Schizosaccharomyces pombe: one gene and its partners. Changing the gene in region 1 together with any one later gene gives a genetic interaction. Each region holds a gene or a part of one and is shown in the gene's direction. Other genes may lie near its edges.

Region 1 (10,519 bases):
TTTGTATCGAGATAAATAATTGAATATGAAATTCTACCTATATGCTTAATAAAATCAAAAATTGCCTCGCATAAACAAAAAAAAACTCGGTGATTAAATACACCGAATCACTTGGTTAGCCGCAAGGCAATATGAAGTGGATTGTAATGTGTTTGTTTACTAATCCATTACACCAATTTTCTTGCACACATTCACATGCAGCACAATAAGGAAAATCATTTTGTAGAGGATGCAAAGCAATTCCAAGAAAAAGCAAAACTCTATCAAGGAAACTACTATACACTGGATGGAGAATTAATCACCATAATACCTAGCTCGAAGGAGGGCTTTCGATCATGCAAATCGCTTTATTATAAGAAGAAGCAACCTATACCGGGAAGGTAATAAAATATAGATGCAGCTGCATCTGCAGCATATTGATGGCGTGCTTGCACATACTCCTCAACCCTTCAAACTTTTACTTCAATAAACGAAGGGTACCAAACCACTACCTTTCTTGAACTATTTTATCAAAGAAATGCATAATAGCATTAACGAATAATGAAAATTACTACCAAACCATTTTGCTTGCCAACAACAATTGAGTTTGTGTAACTTGATATATACTAGAAGATAAATCTAAACTATAGAAAAATCTGTAACGAAAAAAGCCCGATAGTTTTCTCGCTCCAACAAACTCAATAATTTTACAATCTTTAAAAAAATCTCCTTTACAAGTTTATAAAGTGAACCATTCATGCTATGAGCATCAACGAAGAGTGTGTATGCTCATTGAAACATGCTAGACTTTTTCAACAAGTAATCTACTCTATAACATAAAAGCAATCCGGAATGCAAACAACGTGTCATGAAAAGATCAGATTAAAGATAATGATAGAAGAACAATTTCATGGACTCTAGGAACAGGCGCAGAAAAATTAACAAGGTTTTGATATTCAATCGATAATTGCAGCAAACAAAATGCAAGAATACCAACTTGAAAAAATATGATATAATTTGGGCATTGGGAAGAAAGGAAAACCAAACAAATGAATTTATAAAATAATTAAGCTATTATACAGCAAGAATTTTGCTTTTTAGCAGATTTATAAAACATTCGAGACTGTGTAGATAAGTTATCACTACGTTGGATCAAGTCGTCCAACTTCTCTCCTCTAGCTAAGACACTCTCGATTGTTTTATGAAGTACATCTTTAGTTTCATCCAATTCTTGTTGCACTCGCATAATCGTATCAGCCTGCTTGGGGTCTTGATATTTTGATAGATAGGTATCCAATTCTGGAAAGGATAGGGTAACAGCACCAGATTCCCATTTGGTGCGAGGATTTTTTGTCAAAAATTCGTCTAGAATCTTATTTAGAAGAGTATAAGCAACACGTAAAGGGTATTCCTTGTCACTAGCAATCACACCGCACAACCCATCCGATCGGTTGTACACATGAAAAACGTAATTGGACTGTTCAACGTCTTGTCTTTGCCCTGGATTAGTACGTTCTGCAACAGTCTTTGTAAAAAAATTCATGAACTCTCCGATGCTGAAATATTTGTTAACAAACTACTCTTCAATTAAATCTTGCACATACGATGATCGTTGAAAAAATGAGAAACTAGATAAGTCTGAGGCAGTGCATAATAATTGCACTGGTTTTGGGTCAAAGCGGAGTATAGAGACAGAATACAGCTTCATTCTGTAAATATGCTGTAAATCAAGTTAATGGTGTGGGTTAAGTTTGTTTCTGCTTTGGTTGAAAACGCCATACTTCTTGCAATCGTATGTACACACATAATACCTTCGACTACGGTATTTTTCTATTACACAAATAATAGGTAGTGGCCATTTGTTTACAAACCATCCCCTACACTACTAGCAGTGCTAAATTGGGTAGTATATTGGATACAATCCTATAAAAGCAATAAAAATTCAAATTTTTTCTGTTTAAGGAGGTTTTAATTTCAACGATCTATCCTTTTACAGTTTTCATGGAAGTTGAGTTAAATTATGTAGTGAATCACTTAGAAAAGCTAGGTCCTGCTAGTTTTTGTGATACTCCATATAGCTTTTCGCTGAGTGATTCGAATGCTGAGCTAGGTGCTTTATCGTTAAAAGTTGACGAAATTTTGAAAACAAATTATAATTTAATCAATCCCGAGGACGTTACTGACTCCGACAATAATGAATTTGCTCTTAAAGATTTAACTTGGCTGCAAAATTGCTGCAATGAAATTTCTCAATCTTCAAGTACTGAACTTGATGCTTCAGTACTATTTGAAGCAGTCATTATGAGCCTAAAAGCGACTGAAGATCAATGTGCCATTCAAGAAGATTTACTGAATCTTGTTGGACTTGATCATATTGACTTGATTTCAGATATCGTCGCTAATTCGTCCAATTTAATAGAAGAATACATGAATCAAAATGATACTTCAATTGCTGCGCAACTTTCTGATGGCTATACCTCTGAAGCTGGTTCTTCTGCTACGCATGGTCAGGGATTATTAGACAGTTTAAAAAGTAGGCCGAGAAGATTTAGTCGGTCTCGTGATAACAGAGGTCCTTTATTTACTGGACAGCAAGTTTTTGAAGTGGAAAAATATCCTCATGTGTATGGGGATAAAAGGCTTGGTAATACTATTAGCGTCATTGGGAAAAAGTTTGCATTACCGGCTGGTAGTGAAAGAGAAGATTACCAGAAATATGAAGAGATTATTGTTCCTCATGCTCAGCGTGCTCCACAAATGCAAGGGGAAAAGTTGTTAGAAATTTCTTCGATGGATATTCTTTGTCGAAAAACATTCCTTAGCTACCAAACTTTGAACAGAATCCAATCGCTTGTCTATCCTATCGCCTACAAGACAAACGAGAATATGTTAATTTGTGCACCTACAGGTGCAGGAAAAACTGATGTTGCTCTGCTCGCAATGTTGCAAACAATCTCCAACTATGTAGAAAGTATGAATCTTATGGATGAATCGGAACCTCTAGATGTTCATAGAGATGATTTTAAGATTGTCTACATTGCTCCTATGAAGGCATTGGCTGCTGAGGTTGTAGAGAAAATGGGAAAACGTCTCGCTTGGTTGGGATTGAAAACTAGAGAACTTACTGGTGATATGCAACTAACCAAAACGGAAATAGCAGAAACTCAGATACTTGTTACAACACCTGAAAAATGGGACGTAGTTACTAGAAAAAGCGTCGGCGACACTCAGTTAGCCGAGAAAGTACGTTTGGTTATCATTGATGAAGTACATATGCTTCATGATGAACGTGGTGCTGTTATTGAATCACTTGTCGCTAGGACACAAAGGCTGGTAGAAACAAGTCAACAGATGATTAGAATTGTTGGTCTTTCTGCCACACTTCCAAACTACCTTGATGTAGCTGATTTTTTAGGCGTCAATAGGTACAAGGGATTGTTTTATTTTTCATCTGCATTTCGTCCATGCCCTATTGAACAGCATTTCATCGGTGCTAAAGGTTCTCCTAAAATAGTAAACTCAAATATTGATGAAGCTTGTTTTGATAAAGTTTTGAAACTGATTCAGGAAGGCCATCAGGTAATGATATTTGTACATTCTAGGAAGGAAACCATTAATTCAGCTAAGAAGTTGAGGGAACAATTTTTCCATGAGGGAGAGGCTGATTTGTTGGACAACTCACAACATGAAAAATATAGTCTAGCTCAAAGAGATGTTTCAAAGTCAAAAAACAAAGAGTTAAAAGAACTTTTCAAATACAGTATGGGGATTCACAACGCTGGCATGTTACGATCGGACCGACATCTTACTGAACGTTTGTTTTCTATGGGTATTCTTAAAATTTTATGCTGTACTGCTACCCTAGCATGGGGTGTTAATTTACCGGCTTATGCTGTATTAATTAAAGGAACTCAGCTTTATGATCCACAAAAGGGTTCTTTTGTAGATCTTGGCGTGTTGGACGTTTTACAAATATTCGGTCGTGCTGGTCGTCCTCAGTTTGAAAGTTCGGCAGTCGCGTACATAATTACGACACATGATAAACTTTCTCATTACATCTCCGTTGTAACACAACAAAGCCCTATTGAATCTCGTTTCACCGATAGATTGGTTGACAACTTAAACGCTGAAGTTTCTTTAGGAACGGTAACTAATATTGACGAAGCTGTATCGTGGTTAGGTTATACTTATCTTTATATCAGGATGAGACGTAATCCACTTGTATACGGTATTGCTTATGACGAACTTGTTGAGGATCCTTTACTAGGCAGCAAGCGAAGAGAATTGGTATCTGTAGCGGCAGGAAGGCTGGCAGATAATCAAATGATCGTTTACAATAAGAAAAACGGATACCTGATTCCTAAAGATTTAGGTAGAATCGCGTCCAATTACTATATCAATTATCAAACTGTCTCAACATTAAATAATTTATTGAAAAGCAAAATGTCGGAAGCAGACATTATAGCTCTTTTGAGCCAATGCAGCGAGTTTTCCCAAATCAAATCGAGAGAAAATGAGCATCGTGAGCTTGAATCACTAATGGAAAACAGTAGTCCTTGTCAGTTGAGGGATAGTATTTCGAATACATCAGGAAAAGTTAACGTTATTCTGCAGTCATACATTTCTCGTGCGCATGTAGAAGATTTTACCCTAACATCAGATACAAATTATGTTGCACAAAACGCGGGTCGAATAACTAGGGCTCTTTTCGAAATTGCAATGTCAAGGACTTGGGCCTCGGCATTTACTATCCTTAGCTTAAACAAGTCAATTGATAGGAGGCAGTGGTCTTTTGAACACCCCTTACTTCAGTTTGATCTTCCACATGACCTTGCAGTCAAAGTGGAAAATCAGTGTGGGTCTTTATCATTAGAAGAATTGTCGGACATGTCTACAGGAGAACTTGGTGATCTTATTCATAACCGAAAAATGGGCCCTACAGTTAAAAAATTTATTTCCAAATTACCTCTTTTAAACATTAATGTTGATTTGCTACCTTTAACGAAAAACGTTTTGCGACTTGTATTAAATATCACTCCCAATTTTAATTGGGACATGAGATATCATGGAAACAGTCAAATGTTTTGGATATTTGTTGAAGATAGTAACGGTCTTGAGATTCTTCATCATGAACAGTTGCTCCTAAATAAACGGAACGTTAGCACTTCTCATTTACTATCCTTTACCATACCTGTGTCTAATCCATTACCCTCACAACTATACATTATTGCAGTATCAGATAAATGGCTAGGCGCTGAAACAGTTACCCCGGTTTCTCTTTCTAATGTTGTTTTTCATGACGATTCCAATCCCATTACAGAATTATTGGATCTTCAACCTTTACCAATTACGGCTTTGCACGATCCAGTGCTAGAAGGTATATGCGCTAAAAGATTCTCGTTTTTTAATGCAGTCCAAACTCAATTTTTTCACACTATTTATCACACCGATACAAATATTTTCGTTGGTGCACCTACTGGATCTGGTAAAACTATGGCCGCAGAATTAGCTACTTGGAGAGCTCTTCACAATTATCCTAAGTCGAAAGTAGTTTATATTGCTCCAATGAAAGCTTTAGTCAAGGAAAGAGTAAAGGACTGGGGACACAGGTTAGTTGAACCAATGGGGATTAGTATGATTGAATTAACTGGTGATACTAACCCGGATGTTAAGGCTGTTACGAATGCAAATATCATAATTACAACACCGGAAAAATGGGATGGTATTACTAGAAGTTGGAAATCTAGGAAGTATGTTCAGGATGTCTCATTAATTATCCTTGACGAAATCCATTTATTAGGTAGCGATCGAGGTCCTGTCCTTGAAATGATTGTCTCCCGAATGAATTATGTTGCTTCTCAAACTAATAAGAAAGTTAGAGTTCTTGGTTTATCTACTGCTGTTGCTAACGCTAACGATCTTGCAAATTGGCTTAACATAAGAGATGGTCTATTTAATTTTAGGCATTCCGTGCGCCCAGTTCCTTTAGAAATATATATCGATGGATTCCCTGGTAGAGCCTATTGCCCAAGGATGATGTCGATGAATAAGCCTGCTTTTCAAGCCATCAAAACGCACTCTCCTACCCAACCTGTTTTAATTTTTGTTTCGTCGCGCCGTCAAACTAGATTAACTGCAAAAGATTTGATAGCTTTTTGTGGTTTAGAAGACAATCCTAGGAGATTTTTGTACATGGATGAAGAAGAATTAGAAATGATTGTTTCAGAAGTTGAAGATAAAAGCCTCAAGTTGGCTTTACCATTTGGTATAGCACTTCACCATGCTGGTTTGACTGAAAATGATAGAAAAATTTCCGAAGAGCTTTTTGTAAATAATAAAGTTCAGATTCTCATCGCCACCAGCACTCTTGCATGGGGTGTAAATACGCCGGCACATTTGGTAATTGTGAAAGGAACAGAGTATTACGATGCTAAAATTGGAGGCTATAAAGACATGGATTTGACGGATGTGCTTCAAATGTTAGGGCGTGCAGGACGACCACAATTTGACAATTCTGGTGTGGCACGTATATTTGTACAGGATATTAAGAAGTCGTTTTATAAGCACTTTCTACATAGTGGATTTCCAGTAGAGTCTTATTTACATAAAGTATTGGATAACCATTTAAATGCCGAGATTGCTACGGGCACTATAGATTGCATACAGGGTGCAATGGATTTTTTAACGTGCACTTACTTCTATCGAAGAGTTCATCAAAATCCCGTTTATTACGGTGCTGATGGAGATGACCAAAAGAGTATAGATACTTATTTATCGAAACTTGTTGTGACTGCATTTAATGAACTTGAAAAGTCAGCTTGCATATATCGTGTCAACGAAGAAACCTATGCACCTACAACTTTGGGTCGTATAGTTAGTTACTATTATCTTTTTCATACCACCATCAGAAACTTCGTTCAAAAAATAACTGAGAACGCTGAGTTCGATCTTGCGTTGCAATTGCTTGCTGAAGCATCTGAGTTTGACGATCTCGCTATTCGTCACAACGAAGATTTGATAAACATAGAGATTAATAAATCTCTGAAATATTCGGCTGCTTGCCTAAACCTTCCTATGGTCGATGCTCATGTTAAGGCATTTATATTAACTCAAGCTCACATGGCAAGATTGAAACTTCCAGTGGATGATTATGTTACTGATACTAGCACGGTTTTAGATCAGGTTATTCGTATTATACAGTCTTATATTGATGTGTCCGCTGAGCTAGGCTACTCCCATGTCTGTTTACAGTACATATCTCTAATGCAGTGTCTTAAACAGGCTTGCTATCCGAGTGAGATTTACAGAGCTTCATTACCTGGACTTAATGCGTCTAGTGAAAAGGAAGCAAGAGATTATCTCAACAAATTTGCAGGAAATAAAACTGATGAGTTATATCAAATGCTATGTAATGACCCTAACGTTTTTGATATAGAAAGTCTGGTCAATAGTTTAATTTCGTATCCTAAAATGAACATTGAAGTTTCTCAATCGTCTTCAGATAAGCTACTCCTTTATCTACGACGCCTCAATCAGCCGCTCAACCCCGATTTTTACATTTTTGCGCCGTTGTTCCCTAAACCTCAAAGTGAGGGATTTTTCGTTCTCATCATAGATTCAGAAACTCAAGAACTGTTCGCGATACGTCGGGCCTCATTTGCTGGGCGAAGAAACGATGATTCAATTCGTTTATCCCTTCGGATTTCAATGGATATTCCACCAACTTGCCGCAACAGAAATGTAAAAGTCATGGTTGTTTGTGATGGATACCCATTAATTTACGAACATAAAATTGTATTGATGATTTAATGAAGCTTTTGTAGAAAAATAGAAGGCTTTAAGCCAATTTCCTTATTATATTTAAGTCTGTTTAATAAAAATTAATTAACAAATCTATAGACCTCAATAATCCTATTAATTGGTGAACATAAAACCCACAATTTAAGTAAAAATATTCCCAACATTGAAAAACAGCGGCTAATCCGAAGTCTTTTTATTCAATTTTTTTTACAAAAGAAACAAATGCCAAGTGAACCCAAGAAAACCAAAACCATTCAATTAATATTCCATTTCCACAGGAATTTCTTCACCACGACTAGCACTGTTAAGCAGCTCACGTCTAATTTCTGGACCAATAGAATAATGTCCTTTCAGGCGAACAACTTCTAAGAGTGCATCCTTTTGTTCGGGTGTAATATCAAATTTGTACCGTTGAGCAAAGACCAACATCGATTGATGTTCTAATACAGCAAGTGGACGTTCCAATGATTTCCATCGCATAAAATAAAAAACCAAAGAATCAAGCACCTTATACGGTAGAGCATATTTTTTGTCGAGTAATATCCTAATAAATACGGAAGTAGCACCACTCAAGTCAAACTCAGTTAAACGTAATAACGCGGCTGCAGAATGCAGAACCGGCACAGAAACTTTTTGAAGGATACTACCGATGATTGCGGCTTCGCGCAAAGTGCAATTCTCCTATAAGAGGTTAATAATTAAGTAAAGAAATCGATGAACATACTTGAACTAGAGGAAACAAGAAACCCTTAAACCAAGAAGACGGTTTGTATAATGCCTTTTTCAAAGCCATATATAAATGGTAATTTAATTTTTTATTTTCACGAATGTCATCACGAACTCTTTCCAAAATAATGACTGTGAGGAAGTGTTGAGCTTGTACAGGTTTTAAGTTGGAAATAAAAATACGAGTAGCTTCATAACAAGCATGAGGTGTCCACATGTCAGGTCGAGTGAGATAAAGTATGTCTTCCCAATTAGACAACGTAGGGATAATTTTGAAAGCTTTAGGAATTTTTCCTGAGCGGTATTTACTAAGTAAAACCCCAACCTTTGAATAGACCTCTATTACCTTGGGAGGCAAGGGAGGTAAGGCATTTTCCTCCTCTTCTGCAGAAGGGATATATTCACCACGAGCGCGAGCTTCAGCCTCGTTGATTTTTTGCATGATCAAATCGGATAGTGAGGTGGTTTTTTCCTCTGTTAGATCTCCTTCCTCGCCTGACACGGTTGGGAGGAATCGATCGAATAAATCTCGGTCAGCATCATCTATCTCAAGCTCCTCATACTCTTCTTCTTCTTGAGAAGTAATGCTTTCACTATCGGATACATTTCTAGCATGCTCTGATTCTTCATAGCTTGATTCAATTGCCGGATTTTCTAAAGTGTCTTTTTGATGTCCATTACTAATAAAAGCACTGATCTGTGAAGGTTTTCCATTTTCTTCTTCATCCAACTCCTCTTTTTGTTCCCTTGCTAATTGTAAAATTTTTTTAGAAGTCTTGGCATCCAAGAAGCCGTTTCCGGTGTTGCTTTCTTTCGACTTTTTCTGTTTGCTAGGTTTCTGTCTCAAGACACCACTTTCTGAAGATTCTGCAATGTCCTTATAAAGAGGAGCATGATGCAGTTTAGTTTTTGGAGCCTTGGGCATTATCAATAATATATTTTCTTTTTAATTCCGCCGCTCCAAACACTTTGGTTTTTTGTAGGTACAAATTGCAATTATAAAACTTACCTAATTAGCGTACTTTAAATCCCACGTAAAACCGTGCATTTCGTTTTACCTAGCGCCTCACAAAATAGCACGCTATTTAGCCTTTCACCTTTTGTAACTACTGAACTCCATGGGAAGTATCTTCCATATGCAGTTTTTTATGCTATACTATGTTATGTTAGCTATTACTGTTCAATATAGCTCTTTAAATATTAAAGAATAGGACTGTGGGATGATATAATGGTCTTCATTAAAGTTGATAATACTAATTGAATAAATGAAAATAAATTACATCTTAACCAACATTCCGCATTTCAGTTGTGAGCTATTGAATGATTGCCATATTATCAAAGTTTGACAGTATGTTTAACACATCAGCAAATCTCTAAGTTTTCAAAGATCATGGGAACTCAAGCTACTTTTTGTTCGCTATTTTTCCTAGTAATCGCATAGTTGACAGCTTTTATTATATATATAAATATATATTAAATTAAAGCGTATAATCTGATATTAAGAACTCAATTTTTTAGATTTACGCAGACTGAATCTTGGAAAATAAAGGACATATTTCTTCAGCTTGAGAGTAATGGCTTCATGCTGTATCTTTTGTGCTCAGTTTGTATTAAATCGAAATCTGTTAGAAGCTAATAAGTATAAACTTTCCGAAATTACTTTTAAGGTCTACATTAGTATCAGAAGGCTACTAATTGTAGTGATCACACTTTACAGACGAATAGTTGAGTGTTGTGCTTCACTATGCTCCCTCATTTTCAGTAAATATTATCTGCATTATAAAACTTTTAGGATTCTTACAATAATTCAAAGTTGGTCTGATAAAGTCTCAGTTCTTCCAAATCGCCTTTATTGTTTACCTTTTTGCAACGCGTTTATTGAGTTCGTAAAAAAACTTACCGAAACGTAAAGAAATTTCAACGCCATAATTAATGCGAAATTACTAAGTCCATTATTAACCCATATTGAGTAAATTAAATTCCTACCTCCCTGTGAGTGTATTTTTTTCTGTAC
Region 2 (6,435 bases), 670 kb from region 1:
CTTGGAATTTAAGTTTGCAGCTTCGAAGAAAGTCGTAACTATTTTCTAGAACTGATTTTTTATTTCATGATAACGTTAAAATTTGCCCAGCAATAACTGTATTTTTGTGTACTTTACCAATAGCAATTTAGATTTTAACTAGCAAATCAAAGAAATATGGAGTTGTTGTCCTTCTCCATGCTTAATATTGCAGCCATATTTATTCTTTACTAACTCATCACCTAGCGATGTTTCGATTCCGTGTCTTTAGCTAAAAAATTGTTATGGTATAAAGATTCACGGATCGGCCGTTAAAATTATTCAATTACTTAACCAATAGAAAGGCCCCAGATTCGATTGCTATACCACTACATATTCGTTTACAATAATACAATATTACGGTTGAAGTATTTTTAAACAGCCAATCATTTTTTTTATTTTCAAAGCAATTTTGTTTAAGAGAATAAGACAGAATATTATTTCATAGTAAAAGTATATAATTATATTCTAATATACCGATATTGTAATGACGATAAATTATTTTTTAAACTAATTTATGGCATGTTGATAAAGCCAATGAAGGGACTGAGTAAATTGTATACCTCAAGCAAAAATTCGCTAAGCAAACGACAACTTCATCATAACCTGATGTTGAGTATGTTGTTGACGAGTAATCCCTTGTTTAATTTTTGTAAAACAACCGGATATCGGAAATATAGCAAAGGGATGAGAGCGATGGTACAAAAGTTGAGGTGCCACATTGGAACAATATTTAGTCATTATCCGAAATTTGTTATCCGTTTTTTAATTCCGGATGACATCTAAATGAATTGGGAGTTAATAGCCACTGACACGTACACTATAGAGTTAGTACTTGATTAAAAAAAAGTAAGAGAAATAGAGCAATCCTCAACCTTGTTAACTTTTCTTATGAGGTGTTAGCATTAATTCTTGTGTTCAGTCTTGCGCTCATGTCCGTTACTTGTGTAAAAATGTACGATATGTCGTCCCATATTAGTAAATGCCATGAATTATCATCCATCACTGATACCAAAATAAACGGTGATGATGAATTCAACAAATTCAAAATATCGTTATACACTGGTACTCATAGCTATTCTGTTTCCCTAGTGGAACATGTTATTCTCTTTCCTTCTCATATCTCTCGTAATGTGACGTCAAATTATAATATTCGTGTAACGAAACCAATCAGCAACCAGCCTTTCAATCAACCAATCACATAATACCTATATGGTCGAAAAATATGATAATATTGCTTTAAAAGTCATAATAGTTTTGGATGAGCGAGTTCAACTTTCAAGCTAGTCATTCAATTTAACGTTTTAATATAATTTACCTAATTTTTTTTAAATATAGAGAATGAATTTATGAATGAGGGGCATATGGTTGAATTTGAGATTCTATATATCGCATTCGAGATTTAGTAATATTGTAGCATTTCATTCTAGATTAACATAATAAATCACACACTAGCATGCTCTTGACTACTCTCTTACGCGGCAACGTAGATAACGTACATCAAAAATTTTACATTCGAATGGTGTTTTATTACGATTAGTTTAATATTTCGGCAAAGCAATTTGAATTTCAGTAAATGTAAAGGATTCTAGGCACTTACTATGACGTTGAAAAATAATATAAATATAAGCTTGCTTTCATTAAAACAACATCGTTAGCGAATAAATTCTAATTCACTTTTTCCTTCATTTGAATTTTTATTCTACTACTTTAAAGGTCTTTCATTAACATAACGACTGGCTAGAACTGCATTTTAGATTGCTTACCTTATATCAAATTCCAATTATGCTTAGCAAAAAATTTACCCCTTTGTCTTTGAAAAATGCAGCAAAATGCATAAATAATAGTTTGCGTTCTACTTATGCAATTACTGGAGTAAACCTTACGAGAGGACTAGCCACAAATTCAAAAGTTGATCCTAAAACCTACGCTCCTAAACCGGAATTTAGCTCGATTGCCGTTCGTGAAATGCTCCGAAAGTCATGTCTGCATGAATTCACTGATGAAGAGGTTGCTACGCGTATTGAGTTAGCTGCGGCATATCGTCTTTTTGGTTTAGAACATTGGAATGAGAATATTCTAAATCATTTGACTGCCAAGGTTGAGGAACCTGATGGAACCGCTTCATTTCTGATTAATCCTTATGGTTTACGATATGGTGAAATTACCGCTAGTAGTCTTATTAAGGTTGATGAGGATGGAAACATCAAACATCCTGGTGTTACGGGTGATGTTTTTGGCATCAATCGTGCTGGCTATGTTATACATAGTGCGATACACAGGGCTCGTCCAGATGTGAAGAGCATTATGCACAATCACTATCCATATGCTGCTGGCGTTTCATGTGTTAAACATGGTTTCCTTGAGCTTGCTCAAACTTCACACCAATCTGGTCCTGTCACATATCACGATTATCATGGAATTGTAGTTGACAAAGGCGAACAAAAGAGTTTGGCTGAAGACATAGCAAACAAGGATATTTTGATACTTCGTAATCATGGAATTATTACTGCTGCCGAGTCTGTAGGTGCAGCTTACTATTTAATGTATCAATTTTTGGCCGCCACGGAAATCCAAACGCATGCATCAGCAAATGCTTTGGGAGACATGAACAATCTTTTCATTCCTAATAACAAACTTGTTGAAAAAACTTTTGATGTTACCAGAGAGAAGCATTTCTCGGGTGCTAAATATGGAATTAAGGAACTTTCTGCCTATATGAGGTTACTTGATGATCTTGATAGTTCATACAGAACTTAAGATGATGTATTATTTAATTTCGTCTTTTATCAGAATTTATCACAATAAGATTTATTTGACGAGCGTAAATCCACTGAAAACTGAAGTTGAGAGCTTGTTCTACTTGACTTAATCAGTCATTAAATTTATTAATATTCTAAATCGCATTCTTTTATTATTTTTATTCACAGAAATATGAATACATGAAAAAGGAATTTTTTTTAATTTATATAATCCGACAATGCAAAAGCTAACGAAATTACACCTTAGGACTCATATTGTATCACTTGCTTCTTACCGTATTAAATATGCAACTGCAATCATTTTGCAGCCAATGTAAATGACTTTATCGTAAAACATGCATTCTGCATGAAATATCCTTGACAAAAGTTAGTAAAAATTTTATTATACATTATTCACAAATGTTTTTTACCAATAAACTTCTAAGTTACTAGTCAGAATTAATCCTGATGTTTTACTCAAATTTACTTCGTTTTCGACACTCAAAAACAATTAGAAGTTAATAAAAACTTTAACAAGGCAAGTATTCGTTGCAACTCCTAACGACAGCAATACCATGGTTTCTTAATGTCACTATACGCTACTTGTTCAGTTTATTTAGAGTACATACAGTGCGACATTTGTACCGACATATGTTACTAATCATATAGCAATTATATCGATAGCACTATGATTAGACCAATTCTAACCCTTCAATTCATTTGTGGTTAGTTCTACCTAAACCCTTCACACGAAGAATATCTTCAATGCCTGCTGTTCATTCCACCTACATACCGCAGTACAATATTAATAAAATTATCACAGAAGCGTATATTTAAAAGGTGATTTTAAACTGCGTAGCTGTCAGCAATACTGCACTACGTTGCGTATCACTATATGTCACATGTTCAACATCATATCGTAGATATCCGTTGATAACAAGTATTTAGAAATATTATAAATAGCGTTACAACTGAACCTCGTTCCTCAGTTCAGTTATGAGCTATATTATTGATAGGTAACATTATAACCCAGTTAATACAATACCTATACTCAGTTGCTTCTCATACAACCTGTGTATTGTAATATAATAGATCACAAGGAAAACTCACCACAGTTCTACGTATCCTTAAATCAGATACCAAACTGCGTAGCTTACAATAACTGAACTCTTGTGATCTACAATTAACTCTTTTTAAGAAAAAGGAATTATTGAATAAATATATATCATAAATATATATATTTCTCTCCTTCTGGGTTCAAAGGAGAAAGAACTTTGGAAAGACTGTTATCCCTTTTGAAATCTCCCAAAAGGGAAACATATACAATGTCCTACGCAAATTATCGTTATATGAAAGCAAGAGCAAAACGATGGAGACCAGAGAATTTGGATGGAATTCAAACATCAGACGAACATTTAATAAACCTTTTTGCAAAAATATTATCGAAGCATGTACCAGAGATAGGGAAATTCGATCCTAATAAGGATGTTGAAAGTTACATTTCAAAACTTGATCAACACTTTACTGAATACCCTTCATTATTCCCAAATGAGCATACTAAAAGACAGTATACATTGAATCACCTAGAAGAATTAGAGCAACAATTCGCTGAACGCATGTTTTCTGAGAATGGAAGTCTTACATGGCAAGAATTACTCAGACAACCAGGGAAAGTACAAGGATCCAACAAAGGTGATCGTTTAACTAAAACATTTGAAGGTTTTAGAAATCAATTGGACAAAGTTCAATTTATAAGGAAACTCATGTCAAAGGCAAATGTTGATGATTTCCATACTCGCTTGTTTATATTATGGATGCTGCCATATTCCTTAAGGAAATTAAAGGAAAGAAATTACTGGAAATCGGAAATCAGTGAAATTTATGACTTTTTAGAGGACAAAAGAACAGCCTCGTATGGTAAAACTCACAAGCGTTTTCAACCGCAAAATAAAAATCTAGGAAAAGAGTTCCTTCCAAAGAAAAATAACACCACTAATAGCAGAAACCTGAGGAAGACAAATATTTCGAGAATAGAATACTCATCTAACAAATTCCTAAATCATACTAGGAAACGTTACGAAATGGTATTACAAGCTGAACTTCCAGACTTCAAGTGCTCAATACCCTGTCTAATCGATACGGGCACTCAAGCAAATATTATAACAGAAGAAACTGTTCGAGCACATAAACTGCCTACCAGACCCTGGTCAAAAAGTGTGATATATGGTGGAGTTTATCCAAATAAGATTAATCGCAAAACAATAAAACTTAACATAAGTCTAAATGGAATATCAATCAAAACAGAATTCTTGGTTGTAAAGAAATTTTCGCATCCAGCTGCTATCTCCTTCACAACATTATATGACAATAACATTGAAATATCTAGCAGTAAACACACGCTCTCTCAAATGAACAAAGTTTCAAATATTGTCAAGGAACCTGAGTTACCAGATATCTATAAAGAATTCAAAGACATTACTGCAGAAACCAATACGGAAAAGCTACCAAAGCCAATAAAAGGGTTAGAATTTGAAGTTGAACTAACTCAAGAAAACTACAGATTACCTATCAGAAATTACCCGCTACCACCGGGAAAAATGCAAGCTATGAATGATGAAATTAATCAAGGATTAAAAAGTGGAATTATACGAGAATCTAAAGCCATTAACGCCTGTCCAGTAATGTTCGTTCCGAAAAAGGAAGGCACCTTGAGAATGGTGGTTGACTACAAACCTTTAAATAAGTATGTCAAACCCAATATATATCCGTTACCACTTATTGAACAATTACTTGCTAAAATACAAGGTTCTACAATTTTTACTAAACTTGACCTCAAAAGTGCCTATCACTTGATACGAGTAAGAAAAGGAGATGAACATAAACTTGCTTTTCGCTGTCCTCGTGGAGTTTTTGAATATCTAGTAATGCCTTATGGCATATCTATAGCTCCAGCACATTTTCAATACTTTATCAATACAATACTTGGTGAAGTCAAAGAATCGCATGTAGTATGTTATATGGATAATATTTTAATTCATTCAAAATCGGAATCTGAACATGTAAAACATGTTAAAGACGTTCTACAGAAATTAAAAAATGCGAACTTAATTATCAATCAAGCAAAATGTGAATTTCATCAATCACAAGTAAAATTTATAGGGTATCACATTTCGGAAAAAGGATTTACGCCTTGTCAAGAAAATATAGACAAAGTCTTACAATGGAAGCAACCTAAGAATCGTAAAGAATTACGACAATTTCTAGGTTCTGTCAATTATCTTAGGAAATTCATTCCAAAGACATCACAATTAACACATCCACTCAATAATCTTTTGAAAAAGGATGTACGCTGGAAATGGACACCAACACAAACCCAAGCGATAGAAAACATTAAACAATGTTTAGTTTCTCCTCCGGTGCTACGACACTTTGATTTCAGTAAAAAGATTCTACTAGAAACTGATGCTTCAGATGTCGCTGTAGGAGCCGTATTGTCTCAAAAACATGATGATGATAAATACTATCCTGTTGGATACTATTCAGCAAAGATGTCTAAAGCACAATTAAATTATAGCGTATCGGACAAAGAAATGCTTGCAATCATTAAGTCTCTCAAACATTGGAGACACTATTTAGAATCCACTATCGAACCTTTCAAAATTTTAACAGACCATCG
Region 3 (8,553 bases), on another chromosome or scaffold:
ACTTGGTTTACTAAAGTTACATTCGCACGTCTGAACCGATCTCTTTGCTGTTTGATAACGTCAACAATGGCAGAACCAGTTTCGTTAACTGAATTCCTTGACAACACGCTTCCGTTAAATAAACTAGGATTGCCACCCATGATTGACGATGTTGGAGAAAGTTGACCGCTAGTTCCTTCACGGCGATAGGTGGTGTTGGACAAGTAAACACTTCCCTCAACATCAACATCGGCAAGGTCTTTCTCTAGTTTTCGAATTACCTCCTCTTGTTCAGAAGCTTTTTGTTCCAAAAATGAAGCCTTCTTCGACTCTTGAGTAATTCTATCAGTTAACTGGGCATTTGTGGAGCGTAGCTTGGCCAACTCCTCAGATAGTTGCTTTTCGCGCTTGAGTAATTGAGACTCTAGAGAAGTGTTTTCATGAGTCGCATGTTCTCCACTAAATTCAATTTGTTTTAAAACAGATAGTTCTCGTTTAATCTCGTCGTAATCCGAAAATTTATTGGCCAATGTTAAGCTTTCTTCTTTAACTTTGCGGGCCTCTTTAACTTCATTTTCCAGCGTTTGAATGGTGGCACAATGTGTTTCCATTTCTTTTCTTGATGCTTCCTTTATTGATTCCAATTCAGTAGACAATTTTTTATTAAGAGAATCCATAAAATCCAATTGTTGTTTCTGCTGGTTACTCAGGTCATCCTGTGACGACCCGCTCTTTTGCTCTTTGGTGTTTTGCTTGAGCACAGCAATTTCTGCTTGCAATTCGACAATGATTTTGTTAGCATCATCCAATTCAGAAAGAATAGCATTCACTTCGGCAGATTTGGCATTAACGTCCAACCCTGCTGATTCATTCTGACTGGCCTGTAAATCATGATCTAGTTGTGATGCTTGTAATTCCCGAATTTTTGAAGTTAATTTTTGAATCGTACTAGCATTTTCCTGTTCCATGTCTTTATATAGCTTTTGTTGCTCAAGCCAAGACTTTTCGCATTCTTCTTTTGTGATTGCGGCACGCTTTTCCGCTTCAGTCTCTACAAGGTCCTTGTATTTGTCAAGCTCTTTTCGTAAATTTTCCACTTCACGTTCCAGCTTTTCCTTACCCTGTAGCGAGCCTTCCATTTCTTCCTTTTCCTTTTTTAAATCTTCAATCTGTTTTTGAGTTTTAAGGTTGTTCGCAGCCTCAATCAGCAAAGGGTAGGGATCAGGAACCTCGCCTAGTGTTTCATACACTCGAAAGAATGTTGCTTCAGCGGACTTTGCTCGTTTGGTCAAAGAATCGATTCCAGACTGATAAAGCTTTAAAAGGCCCTTCATTTCGCCTAGCTTGACTTCATCAGGCTGCTTGCGAAATTCTGTATATTAACAATATTAGCAAGGGTTAATGTATACTAGGTATGCTGCAATAATAGACACCATACCCTTCGTTTTTGACGAAAGCTCTTTCCTTTCATCCAAAGATGTCTTTTGCATCTTCTCAATTTCTGCTGCAGCTTCATCTGCTTCCCGTTGTAATTCCTCAAACCGCGAATCTATTATCTCACGTTAGTAACTTTGCTATTTGCTTAAAAATTCAAAACACCACGAACTTTTCCATGACTCCGTTAGCTTTTGGAGTAAAGCTTCTGAAGCAACTGCCATTATGTTGCAAGTTATTAAAACGAAACACTAAAATGACTAATGTTTAGTATTTGTTTTGTGCTTAGCATTTCAATGAAATAGCGCGATGTCAGCGTGCTGAAATAGTGAATTGGGAGTTACACAACGTTCCATTAAACACTTCGCTATAAGAATTTGTTTTTATGGAAATGAGTAATATGTATTAGGCGCTTAATTCGATTGGAAAAGTGATTGTATATTGTATTGATTTTGCTTTTGTAGCCTTGTATTTTGGGAATAATGCAAAGCCTATTGACAAAAGGCCAATCTTTTTAGATCAGCTATCAAATTATTCAGTCAATTAATTTTCGAAGAGACTTGAAATTAAGTCAGTCAACAAACATACAATCACTTCTGTGTGCAATTATTATAGTTCCTGCTATTTCACTCTGTGAGGCTATCTCAAATTGCTATAACTCCCAGGATGCTTGCAAGTTAACTTAGAATTACTATGGATTAAGATTGGAAGAGAATCTCCTATAAGGATTCCACGTATTTGAATAGTTAGTTTTGTAATAGAATCTAATTTTTATTTAAATTAGCAGAAATTCTAAATTTACTTTCTTTCTATATCATAACATTTCGTTTACTATGGGTTACACGCTACCCAGATCTACTCATATTGAAAGTAACCATATTAACGCAACAGATACACTTACAAAGGGCTTTTTCATGAATATAATTGTTTAATGAATCTTTTCATTAATTCAAAATTTACAAATGTCTGATATTGAGCTGCATGAGTCAGCAATTCCTAAAGAATTGGATTCCCCTGTAACTACCATTGCGCTCTATAGTAAGGCAAGCATCCGGGGCTATATTGCTAACTATTTGATTTTTTTAGATAACCATCTATACTTTGGAACGGAAGGTGGTGATGTATTCCTCTATAATTTTTCAAATTTCCAGGTTTGTGTTTATTCGTGTGTTGCACAGGGTTGTTTGCATTAACACGCGTATTAGTTAAATGAATCACCAGAGCTTGTAAAGAAGATTTCGTTGGTGTCGAAATCTCGTGTAAACCGAATTCTTGCAATGCCTTTTCTTGGCGCAGTTTTTATTCATCATGGTAAGCTATGTGTGGTTTACGATAACTTTGGAATACCAATTAACGGTGGTAGGTAGTTTCGCAGAAGTATACAAGGAAGATGATTTGACTCAGCTTTACCCTTCCATCTCCTTTAAAGGCTTGGTGGAATTCTGTCATCCAGGCCAACGTATTGACGAGAAAAGCACATATTTAATTGTGACCAATACTCATTTAAAGCTCATCTCATTTCAAAAAGATGGAATCATACTAGTCAAAAATGTATGTTAGATGCTAAATTGTTTACTTCATAAAAGCGCTAATTAACAATAAACAAGGAACTTAAATACCCCAATATTCAAACTGCTCGTGTGAATGGTCATATCGTTTGTCTAGTTACCGAAAATTCCTTTGAATTATTGGATATTCTCACCTTTGATACTACTCCCCTCTTTCCCATTATCAAATACGATTCGGAAAATAATGGGCTAATGTACAAACCCATGATTGTTTTGCATTCTAATGAATTTCTCTTGATTACCGGTAGTCCCAAAGATGCCATAGGGCTTTTTGTAGATTCCCAAGGGAATGTCACAAGAAGCACTCTAACTTTTTCATTTTATCCAAAACATGTTTTTTCTACATCTCATTATGTGTTCGCCATTTCTTCTAGTTCGTTACAGATCATCGACATAAATACTCTCAGTCTTGTTAAAAGTATTAATCTGAAGGATGATGAAAGTTTCTCTTTTATTTCTCGATTGACAAGCGTTCATTTTTGTGATCGCCAAATATTTAGTAAATTCTCTGCTGTGAATACTGCGTCTACCTCAAAAACTTCTGATACGATAGAAAGGGCTTCTTTTAGCAAGCCTTCATTTATTTTTCTTACGAATAAATCTTGGGGGTTTGGCGCTGAAGCTCATTTTATGAACAAACTAGAATTCAGTATTACCATAGGCGATATTGAAGCCCCTCTGCGTCGAGTGAGTAAGCGATTGCGGAATCCGAAGAAGTATGGAATAACCAATGATGTCGCTTATCTTCAATCTGCTTATTTGGAGCAAATCTCGGCATTACAGTATTGGAAGCAAGGACAGTATGAAAATTCTCTCTCTTTGCTTGAAACTTCCAAAATTGATCCTCGCGTAGTTATCTCCCTCTATCCAGATCTCTATCATTCGGAGCTTTCCTATATTGCTTTTCAAGGTGTCATTAGTTTTCGCAAAAGCATATTGTCCGTCGATGATACTGTTGCTAATGTTTTAAAATCTAATGAATTGTTTCGTGATACTGATCAATACACTCAGAGACAAATGATTGAAATTACTAAGGAAAACGCATACATCATGTTGATGCGTTATCTGAAAAATTACAAAAAGAACACGAGCATATCTGAGTATCTTTTATCTTCGCAAAGAGACGTGATGCTTGCTGTAGAGCATTCGTTATTACTCCTTTATTTAAATATGGATGATTTAGCCGCCGGTACCAAAAATGCTAAGGAGTTGTTAGAGTCTGGTCTAACTGGTGTTGAAGATATAAAAGATGTGTTGATACAGAAGAAAGAGTATTATTTACTCTCCGTGTTATTGGCTACTGTAAGGGATCACGATGGTGTTCTTCAAACTTGGAAGAAATTAATAACAGGGGATTATGAAGATCGGAGATTCAACGATGGGTTAATTAAAATACGAGAATATTTGGTTAATGATATTGAGCCTTCGACATTCTGGGAATTTACTACATGGCTTTGTAAACACGATGCAACGGAGGGTACGCGCGTTTTGCTTGACAAAACAGTTAGTGGATCCATTTCTGCAGAGGACGTGTTAGAGCATTTGGATTCTTCTCAAGATGATGTTTTGATTGATTACCTTGTAAAGTCGAATTCCGTCACTCATCGAGCGCTACTTTTAAAGTTGTGCGTTAATAAGTTGCTTGGCAGTTTATTGGATCATAACGATTTTAAAAATCGCCTTGAGACTGCCATTGAAACATTTAGGGAGCTTCCTTGCATGGAGAAACCTACGTATGCCCAATACTTGGAACAACTTTGGGGGGACATGAGTGATTTCAGTACTCATCTTTCATTTTACTATTTGTGTTCTATTAATCTGATGGAAAATGTTGAAGAAGAATCTATAGATAAAATAAAAGATATTTTGTTCGACATTCATGTTGACAATTTATATCTATTTCCTCAACTTGAACACTCGTTTTACAAAAGGAAGAAGAATTATGAAAAAGCTTTATCCGTTTTGGTTACGAATATTCATGACTATAAGGGCGGTGAAGCATACTGTCTTCAAATTGATGATGTTTATCCTCAGTGTTGGTGCAATTTGCTCGAAAAATGTATATCAACAGGAGATGGATGTAGTGATTTTATTAAAGAACTATTGTATCGTCGACCCTTTTCTTATACGCTTTCCTACGTGTGCGAGCAAATTCCAGATCATTGGAATCTTAACTTATTAGCAGATTTTTTGTGTATATTGCAAAAAAGAAATGCTGAGCGTTTGAATGAATCCCAAACTCGTTTAACACTTGAGAAGTCGTTGTCTCAAAATTTGGAAGAGTTGTTCATGGCTATTAATCGTCGTAATGTAGCCTTGGGCAAAAACGAAATTTAACCCAGTAACATTTAAAAAGTAACCTTTGGTTCAGCAAAGTTTTTACCTCAATTTTCGATACTTATTCGACTGATGTTTAATTTAATGATAGAATAATTTCAATGAGACAAAAAGATTCTAGCTTCAAAATGTTGTTAGAATATAAAGGGCTTTCTTCTACAGTTAATTCAGCTCTTCCTGATCTTTACTAGTCTTAAAAATATAAATAATATTAACTATGAGCCTAAATTCATCGAATTTTATTTTTAAAAACCCCCTTCGGGAATAAAGAAAGTGTCCGTAACACAACGATGCACTGTTCACTAAGGTCGGAAACCCCGAGGATGAGCTCGGAAGTTCCGCGGGTAGGTAGATTCCCAGGGTGCAGCAAATATTCTTACACTTAGCTTCTACCACTACCCTTCCCAGTGTTATTAAAAGGACGTACGGAAAGCGTCTGAAGCATAATTGATTGCTGGAACAAGTAGAATTAATATGGTAGAGAACGTTAATATTAATAACAAAAGGGCCGGAAAAATGTCTGCCGCCCCAACTCCCCATAACACCCCATCGGGGACGAGCGCTCCCAACTTTGGTGCGAAGGCTCCTCAAGTAAATACTATTGACGAAGGAGATGAGAATTTAGAGGCTATCGACGGAAAATTGGGTTCTTTATTACATCTCACTTCAGAAGGAGTTTCAGAATTGCCTGAAGCCGTGCAAAGAAGGATTTCTGGACTTCGTGGTTTGCAAAAGCGATACAGCGACTTGGAGTCTCAATTCCAAAAAGAGCTGTTTGAGTTGGAAAAAGCTTATGCAAAGAAGTACGCACCTATTTTTAAGAGAAGATCTGAGGTTGTTCGTGGCGCTGACGAACCTACCGAGGAGGAAATTAAGAAGGGTGAAGCTGCCGATGAGAACGAAAAGAAAGAACCTACTTCTTCTGAGTCTAAGAAACAAGAAGGTGGTGATGATACTAAGGGTATTCCTGAGTTCTGGTTGACCGCTATGAAGAATGTTTTGTCTTTGTCTGAAATGATTACTCCCGAAGATGAAGGAGCTTTAAGTCACCTTGTGGATATTCGCATTTCCTATATGGAAAAGCCTGGTTTCAAATTAGAATTTGAATTTGCTGAAAACCCATTCTTTACTAACAAGATTCTCACCAAAACTTATTATTACATGGAGGAATCTGGCCCGTCCAACGTTTTCTTGTATGATCATGCTGAGGGCGATAAGGTTGATTGGAAAGAAAATGCCGATTTGACTGTTCGTACCGTTACTAAAAAGCAACGCAATAAAAACACTAAACAAACTCGTGTCGTAAAGGTTTCCGTTCCTCGTGACAGTTTCTTCAACTTTTTTAATCCCCCAACTCCTCCATCTGAGGAAGACGAAGAATCGGAGAGCCCTGAATTGGATGAATTGTTGGAACTTGACTATCAAATCGGTGAGGACTTCAAAGAGAAACTCATTCCTCGTGCCGTTGAGTGGTTTACTGGTGAGGCTTTAGCTCTTGAAAACTATGACGGATTCAGCGACTTAGATGTTGAAGAGGATGAAGATGATGTTGAATCCTCTTCTAACGAAGAAGTTTCCGATTCCGATGAGGAGGACAGTGATAGCAAGCACACTGCTCATGGCCAGCAAAACGCTGCTGAGTGCCGTCAGCAATAAACAATTTCGATAATGTGCATATATTATGGGGTTAATAACAATGGGTTTTCTGTGTTTTGACTAAAGGAAAGATACTTGAAAAGTATGATTCTTGAGGTTTTCATGCAACATTTGTAAACCTTTTGTTGTACAGGATAGGTTCGGACCACATGTGAGTGCTTGCGGACGAGATTCTGCAAGTTTATAAAGTTTTTAAATATCTTCCAATTTATCGAGTTTTTTTCGTTTATCAAATAAAAATGCTTACAGTCGACGTGTTTTATTTTTTACTGGAATTGGTGGTTTTGAGATGAATGGCTTTAAAAGACCTAAACGACATCGTCTACATAATGGGAGGTGTGATCGTTCTTGGCGAATTTTCCGAGTTTCTAGTTTGAGTACGAAAGCCTTTAAAGATTTTGGAATGCTTATATTTGATCAATCATGATGAAAACGCTCGGACAAACTTGGACGTTTTAATATTTTCTTGCCTTTTTTTTCAATCAAATGCTTGCGAAAAGAACTAGTGATAGTTTTTTATTGTTAGTTTAGACCAAGTTGAAAACACTGACTGTAAAAATTGACCTTTAGTAAAGCTTAAAAAAGAGAACCCTTTTTACGAGCTTTTCTAGAAAATAATGCTTTGTTTTGACTTAGAAGTAAGCAATTGAGAATTCATAGTATGAATGGGTTGCATCCTAGTTAGTCTACTCTACCCAAGAAGTTGGGAAGGTATAACTAAACCCGATGTGTTTACATAAAAGGCTATTTCGAAAGAAATGAGTGTCAAAGTTTATCAAAAATACGATTTGTTTTTTTTTCGTTTTTTTAGACATAAAGAAGCTTGCAATTCTTGGAGTAAGAAGGAAACTAAAAAAATGCGGAGCGCATTGTAAAAGAGTGTTCGGTTGTTATAGTAAGTTCGTCTAGCGTTTAACAGATACCAGTTTTGTTTTTTAAAGTTAGAATCATCAAATAATGGAGATGATTACAATTGGGATGGAGGATTGCATACTACAATTTATCTTAGTCTAAATTTAAAGCATATTTGACATATCTCTTACAACATCTAATATTTTAATTTTAATACTTGCCTTAAATATATTATAGCTTTTATAATTTTCGACTTAGACACTATGCCTGAGTGGTTAAAGGGACAGACTAGAAATCTGTTGCGGTCTCCGCGCGCAGGTTCAAATCCTGCTGGTGTCGAAAATTTTTGGCAATTTTTATATTGAAAATTCTTTATATTCATTTGCAACTTAAGAATGTTTTTAGTATATAATGCAAAGGTCCTAAATAAAACAGCGTCCAATTTGATGGAATGCGTTTAGTTGTATAATATTGTTGCAGCAATTTGGTGGACTCAAAACACTGAAAGTCAATTCAAATTTAACTAAGCTCATGTGATATATCAGATTTGTTTGATTTATTATTTTTCCTCGTAAGTTTTAATAAAATGGATTCTACAAATGATCTATCAAAGGTACAAAGAAATAAAATCCAGCTAGCTACTACTAAAGGAAACAAATAATTTTAAAGTAGGGAAAACACACAAGTTATAGTAAATAAAAAAGAAAGAAAGAATAAATAAATAAAT
Region 4 (6,452 bases), on another chromosome or scaffold:
CTATCAGTGCGCTTAAACCAACTTTAATAACTTAATTTGTACCTATCTTCGACATGGTGATGAGAATTGCAAGTTCAAGATTTCGAGCAGAATTACCCTCTATAGGCCTTTTATGTTGCTAAAATTATAACATAAGTACTTTTGCACCTAATCGTATCATCAATCATCTTTGATGAATTTTCTTGCCTGCAAACCTCAAAAGCGATAGAAGAACAAAAGAATCAGTTTTATCTCCAACTGCTATGTTTAGATTCTCTATTATAATGCGACGATAGATACAAATTTACAAGATAAATAATTTTACATTACGAATATTTGAAGCAATCTGCCTCTGTAAGCTCAACTGTAAACTTCATGGTTTAAGGTGAAAAAAGACATCTTTTTTTATATATCATTATGTATACACACAGTCTGTCCCTATGAAACTATCAATCGGGATTATTAACCATTGTTTCCGTTTCTCGATACAGGATATTGAAAATTATCTAACAGTTTTGCTTCCTTGGGCACTAAGAGACCTTTTACTAAAGAAAAACCCATCAAATATTAGACCTTGTAGATTAGTAAAATTAATAAAAATAAGCATCTCTCTTGAAACCATCTCAAGAGATAATCTGCTTCTGCTTGCGTATTATAAAGTTACCTTCAATCATTTCGGCGTGTAAACAAGTACCTCATATCAATAACCAAAAGCTCAACTCGTTTGTAGTTCATAAAGAAAAAGAAAAGAAAAGGAAACCTTGTTTAAGGATTCTACAAAGATGTAATTTTCTGGCTTGAGATCATTTACTTTCCTAGATTTCAACTTTCTGCTGTATACCAACCATTTCCTAACTACCATCCAACAAAAGCACGTAATTCCCATTCCTAAAGCGAGAGCAATTAATGCTCAAATGAGGTTTATACATGAAATAGATATTCTCACTCTTATTCTTTAATTAATTATTAAATAGGGTGGTTTGTGAGTTTTTTTCAACAATATTAAGCTTTTCGTAAGCCACCTTTCGGAACTGCCTTTACAGGCTTTAAAACTTATATTCTATGGATACAAGTTCCAATGTTTTTCATTATCAAGTATTGTGGACGTCTGATAAAGCAAAAAAAGTAAAAGTTTGGAAAGATGGGACAATGCGCTTCCACAGCTTCAATAATCGTGGAATTCTCTACGATTCTGATAACCGAGTCGTAGATGATTTTTTCCTTAACAACAAGAGAATTGTTCTGGATTCTGAAATTGAATTTAATAGAACTATTGTTTACGTTGAGAATTTACAAACAACTACTGAAGCGAATATTCCACCTATACCGAGGAAATCAAAATTGAGTGAGACAGGGAAGAGGCCAGCTTATTTATTAAAACCATTCCAGCCTCCATTTCACTCCGCTAACTCAGATGTATCTAACAATTCAAATGGTGCTTTATCGTCAAATATGTTAAAAACACACGCTCATCATACAAATTCAACAAAATCCACGATCTTCCGGAACGCAAATTTGCAATCTTATGGAGTAGATGACTCAGATATTGGTAGTTTGAGATGTTCAAGTAAGCATCAACTGTCAGTAACACCGGAAATACAACCCAAAGCTAAGTTTAGACCAAACTCATATCTAGCTTCTTCTGTTGAGGAATCTAATCGAGCTAACAATACCTCTCCCTATCCCCCATCTAACTCATCCGTAACTGCGCTACCGAAACCTTCGAAAATTGCATATATCCCTGTTTTGTCAAAACCCAAGTCTTTTAATGGCACCTTGGTTGAAGATCCTGTAGAAGAATTTGGAGAAGACGACATAGCTTCTGACTTTTTTTCTTCCCCTTCTGCCGATCTCGAGGCAGATGATTTTACCACTCTAAATAATTCAAATGCTGGTCATTTGTTACAAAACCTAAGTAATGATAACGTAAGTGTCTCCGTGAAGGCATTAGAAAATGGAAATGAAGAAGTTTCTAATAATCATGCTCGATCTCCTCATTCTTCCCGCGCTTGTAATACCATACCTTCCAACAAAAACGATGGGCTAAATGATGATCATCAAAGACAAGATTCTTCTGTTGCAGAACCCAGTCCTACTTCTAAACGTCTCCGTTTGACTCGCCTTCCGTTACCTCTGCTTCGGAAACCCACGGGGAAACGACAAAACTTTATTAATATCACAGTTACCGACCCCTCAAAAAACTTGTACGAAAGAAGTGTCAAAACTGCTGCCGAGCTGGCATCGCTTCAAAATGTAACAGAAACAACTGATAATGAAATACCAAACTCTCCTGATTTTCTAGATGCAGCATCAGAAGAGGATGAACACATTCCTTCGCTAGATTCGTCATCTCTTTTAACACCTTTGGCTTTGCCCAACAAAAAAGCCTTTCAACCCGTGAAGTTTCGTGTACCGTCTTTTTCATCTCCTTTAGTTAAACCAGCATCTTCGTCCTCGTTTGGTAGGAGTCACTCTCACTTAGGCACGTCCCTTCGCTCAAACGAACTTAATGGATCTAGTGCTTCTTCTTCAATCTTTCTACAATCCAACAATGCAGTCAATCCTAACGTTTCACCTTCTACTGTGCTTGAACATGCCAAACATCCTTCCTTGGCCAAACATTCAGGTGTATCGCTGAGAACAGGCTTGTTGATATATCCTAAATATGCAAATGGTTCGAAAAGAAAAGACGGTTTTGGAGCTACTTCTATAATATCTTCAGGGGAACATTCGTCGTTGCCTAAAAACTCGAAATCCAGAAATGTGTCGGTATTTTCTAGCCCTTTTAATGTCCCTTCGTTTACTGTTTCTTCTTCGGACCAAGTCCAAAAGAAAAAAGGAAATGTTCCTAATGCTATTGAAACGGACTCTTCTCCTTCGGATACCATTTCATCCTCGCCTACTGTTCGAGCTGTAAATCTCTCACCCAGCAAAAACCAAAAGCCTCCGAAAATACTTACCAAAATTCCGGATATTTTTTCTAAAGCGGGAAAGAAATCTCCTATTTTACCAACTTTTCAAGAGTCTTGTTCGTTACCTATTGAGCCTTTTTCGTCAAACATTACGGATTTGCCATTTGTAAATACAGTAACACTTGCTTCAACGAGTAGCAAGATCAAAAGGGCAAAGTTAAAAATGCTAAAATTTAAGCATGCCATGACTACACAAGGACGCGATCTCGATTCGGACGAAGATGGTGACTTTATTTGAAATTAATTTTTCTTTCGTACGTTGAAACTTCTCTCTCAAGCCGACTTTGTTACATATAATTTTTAATTCAAAAAACAGTACTGAATTTTGATTTCTGGTTTCCTTCATGTATTATTATCAACATTTATTTTTCCATAGTTCATTTAGGTTTTAGCTATACTTATTTAGCTCTTTTACATATAATTAATTTTTTTTTTTTAAACATTAGATTTCAGCTTGTTTTTGGTGTTGTTAGTACAATTCTAGGTTTTGATTTTCATTTTTTAGTAGCACATACATTGCTTTTTCAAAACCTTGAGTTTCTTCTTTGAACCTTTGAGCAAATAAGTATCAGATTTATTCTTTTCTTTTAAAAAACCAACTATTTGGGTTATTATGAAAATGTTGTAAATATTTTAAGTTAAATTATCTTTTGTAGTCATTTATTTTCTATACATGTTTAAATTTTTCAGCACTAAATAGTGTCTGTTGGTGAGCTCCAAAAATCTTGTTAAAGATGGGTAAAAAGCGAAAACAGACCATAAAAAATGACTATAATGAAAAAATTACGAAAAGAAAGGTCAAAAATAATTTGACTGATGGAAAAGCTAGAGCGTTAACGGTTTTTGAGTCTTTACCTTTAGAAGTTTTAAGATTAATATTTTTGTTATCCAATAATTCGAATTTGGCAGTGACTTCTCGTAGTTTGAGACACCGATTATCTTTAAGGAATAATACGCCTATCTTCATGCCTATTGATTTTACTCTTTCAATGGTACCCAAAAGCATCATTCTCTCTATTCAACGTGGATTGCTACGCAGGTATTTTACACTTCAAATCCTTACAAAAATTGACGAATTAGTCATTTCGGGGTTTGTTAAAAAAAGCCCTAATGAAGATATAAAAGATGGTCGAGTTATACATGCAGGACACGAAGGTTTTATACCAAAACGTATTCTTTTCTTACCCAATGCAGAAGATTTCATTGCAGAGCTGGAACATCGCAACTTTTTGTTTAAAGCTTCTTCTCTTAGAAATGGTTTTCTGCTAGCATTAAAACAACGGAACATACCAGTTATTCGTCAAGTAGGTAAAATTGTTACTGAACGACTTATTTCTATACCTGATGATGAAGTTGAGTTTTGTTTCCTCACCTGGTTCGAGTACACAATGGAGCAAAATTCGGTGGAACTTTTGGATATAGTTTTTGGGTTTTGGAACAATATAATTGAAAAAAGATTTTCTAAATCTTTTATTGACTCTTACCTAACGAGACTTGTGGATATAGCAATTTCAAAAAATGTTACAGAGATCATGTACTACTTGATTGAAAAAGGTGCAATTCCTCAATTACCTAACCTTTTGAAGCTTTTTTAAATGCTTAAGTTTGTAATCAAAATTGCTCTAGCTTTTATATCTTATTCATCATATCATTTGCATCTCGTTCTATAAAATAAATTTTGTATTCGAGGTATTTAATATTCATCTTCACGTTCCTTTTTATATGCGTTGTTTCCTTTTTTCAAATAGATTCAATAAAATAACTTTTTAAAAACCAAAATTGTTATTTCTTTCGTTTAGTCAAAAACATACGAGATAACATTTCAATTTTGAGAGGGAATAACATGGAATTATTTTACGCATGTGTGCATGTTATTAAGCTTTTTACATATTTTAAAATTAGTATGTACGCACATTCATCTGAGCTCGACTCTCAAAGAATTAGCTACTCGGTTCCTAAGCTTTTCCTGTAGCTTGTCAATTTCTTCGTTTCTAAGGGATCTTTCCATACTTCTGTAATTGACTCGGTAGCACAAGCTCGTTTTTCCAGATTTGGCAGTATACTGATCAATCAAGTTAACAGATTCTACCATATCTTGACAGACATCCCGTATGATCTCATAAAAATCATTTGGATTAAAATCATTATTGATCCAAAATGCAATGTCTTTGAAACATGCTGGGTATTTACTAAAAGGCTTAAAAGTGCTAATCTTGTTAGGCAAGAATTGCTTCGAGAATCGTTCATCCAGTGACCAAAAAAGCCGAATATCAGGAATACCGTACAAAATCATTGCGAGACGTTCAAGACCAATTCCAAAAGCCCAACCAATGTAGTTATTTAATCCTGCACCTTTAAGCAGCCTATCCTGGACGACCCCACATCCTAATATTTCAAGCCATTTTCCTTTCCAGTCAATTTCTAACTGAAACGAGGGCTTGGTAAAGGGGAAACTGTCGTACGTCCAACGATACCGAACCTGTTCAGCTCCGGAAGAAATAGAAGGAGCAAGTGATACCAGGTCATGAATCACGGTGGTCAGAGTATCCTTTAAATGTTGGGAAACAAATTTTGTCTCTTCAAGTGAATAAATATCTTGCATGTCATTATGAGTTTCTAATGCAGTAGTTTCATCATCCACCATTGACTTAAGAGATGGAGAAAGAGCTACTTTTTTTAGATCATTTTTCATTTTTGCAGTATCATTTCTGTTCCACACCAATGCACCTTCCATTTGATGAAAAATTGGATAATGACTAGAATCCACTTCATCGCGACGGTATACATCTGCGGTTATTAAGAAACCATTTTTCTTAAATCCTTCTTTGGCCAAGCGAGAGAACTCTTCAGGTTGATGAGCCGAGGTATGGGTTCGAAGACAAGTTTTATTGTTCATATAGTAAGTATCGGATTTGCTTCTACTTACATGTGTCTTGGGAAATCCTAAAGAATCAAAATTCGTCTCTACAGAAACAATAGGTGATTCTTTTTGAACATTATTCATTTCGAATTTTTGAAATTGCTGTTCGAGAAGTTGTCGTAGACTGCATATGGGATGACCTTCTTTTTGAAAAAGGTTTCGACCAATTTTTGAGTGAATATGCTCTGGGACATTGGACCAAGAATCTGTTTGGACTTTTCTTTTCCAATTGGGAAACCTTCTCGAAAATAGTTTCGATAAATGAGAGACTCGATGAGGGAACATTGATTTCTTAAATAACACACTTCACTTTTTGTAATCAAACAATGATAATTTAAATTAGAACAACGAAGCTAACTATTTTTAAAATTAATATATAATAATAATTTAATAGAATTCAATCAATCGGTCTTAATTGCGTCCCATTTGAAAGTAAAAAAATGATAGTACCCAAATATAGGGGTTGTGCCGTTCTTGGATACAATGAACAAAGGAGTAAAATTCGAATCGTTTAATTTTCAAGCAGTGGTTTATAGATTTGGTCAGTTTACAAATATTTCATTCATTGTTTTTGCATAAAA

The links.
Region 2: mutations in rqt2 (region 1) and SPOM_SPBC1289.14 together harm fitness more than expected from each alone (negative genetic interaction), as found in Schizosaccharomyces pombe (one large-scale study listed by BioGRID).
Region 3: mutations in rqt2 (region 1) and vps3 together harm fitness less than expected from each alone (positive genetic interaction), as found in Schizosaccharomyces pombe (one large-scale study listed by BioGRID).
Region 4: mutations in rqt2 (region 1) and SPOM_SPCC736.02 together harm fitness more than expected from each alone (negative genetic interaction), as found in Schizosaccharomyces pombe (one large-scale study listed by BioGRID).

The regions. Positions count from the first base shown.
Region 1 is NC_003423.3:3,741,337-3,751,855, reverse strand, and holds rqt2 (ATP-dependent RNA helicase), read left to right. Parts: upstream 1-1,846; 5' UTR 1,847-1,980; coding exon 1,981-7,788; 3' UTR 7,789-7,883; downstream 7,884-10,519. Other genes in the region: protein smp2, read left to right, coding at 196-384; SNARE protein Ykt6, read right to left, coding at 1,046-1,535, 1,584-1,687; enp1 (bystin family U3 and U14 snoRNA associated protein), read right to left, coding at 8,038-8,460, 8,504-9,430; SPOM_SPBC13G1.15C (uncharacterized protein), read left to right, coding at 10,080-10,415.
Region 2 is NC_003423.3:4,410,573-4,417,007, forward strand, and holds SPOM_SPBC1289.14 (adducin), read left to right. Parts: upstream 1-1,668; 5' UTR 1,669-1,803; coding exon 1,804-2,778; 3' UTR 2,779-3,027; downstream 3,028-6,435. Other genes in the region: Tf2-11 (retrotransposable element/transposon Tf2-type), read left to right, coding at 4,085-6,435.
Region 3 is NC_003421.2:472,811-481,363, reverse strand, and holds vps3 (GTPase regulator Vps3), read left to right. Parts: upstream 1-2,302; 5' UTR 2,303-2,375; coding exon 2,376-2,451; exon of another isoform or gene 2,452-2,499; coding exon 2,500-2,564; exon of another isoform or gene 2,565-2,618; coding exon 2,619-2,724; exon of another isoform or gene 2,725-2,776; coding exon 2,777-2,964; intron 2,965-3,020; coding exon 3,021-5,318; 3' UTR 5,319-5,581; downstream 5,582-8,553. Other genes in the region: coy1 (CASP domain-containing family protein), read right to left, coding at 1-1,351, 1,418-1,528, 1,586-1,637; histone H2A-H2B chaperone Nap1, read left to right, coding at 5,793-6,974. UniProt on the Schizosaccharomyces pombe protein: Required for sorting and processing of soluble vacuolar proteins.
Region 4 is NC_003421.2:309,498-315,949, forward strand, and holds SPOM_SPCC736.02 (uncharacterized protein), read left to right. Parts: upstream 1-3,685; coding exon 3,686-4,546; 3' UTR 4,547-4,729; downstream 4,730-6,452. Other genes in the region: DNA recombination protein Dbl2, read left to right, coding at 1,042-3,189; msf1 (phenylalanyl-tRNA synthetase), read right to left, coding at 4,867-6,156.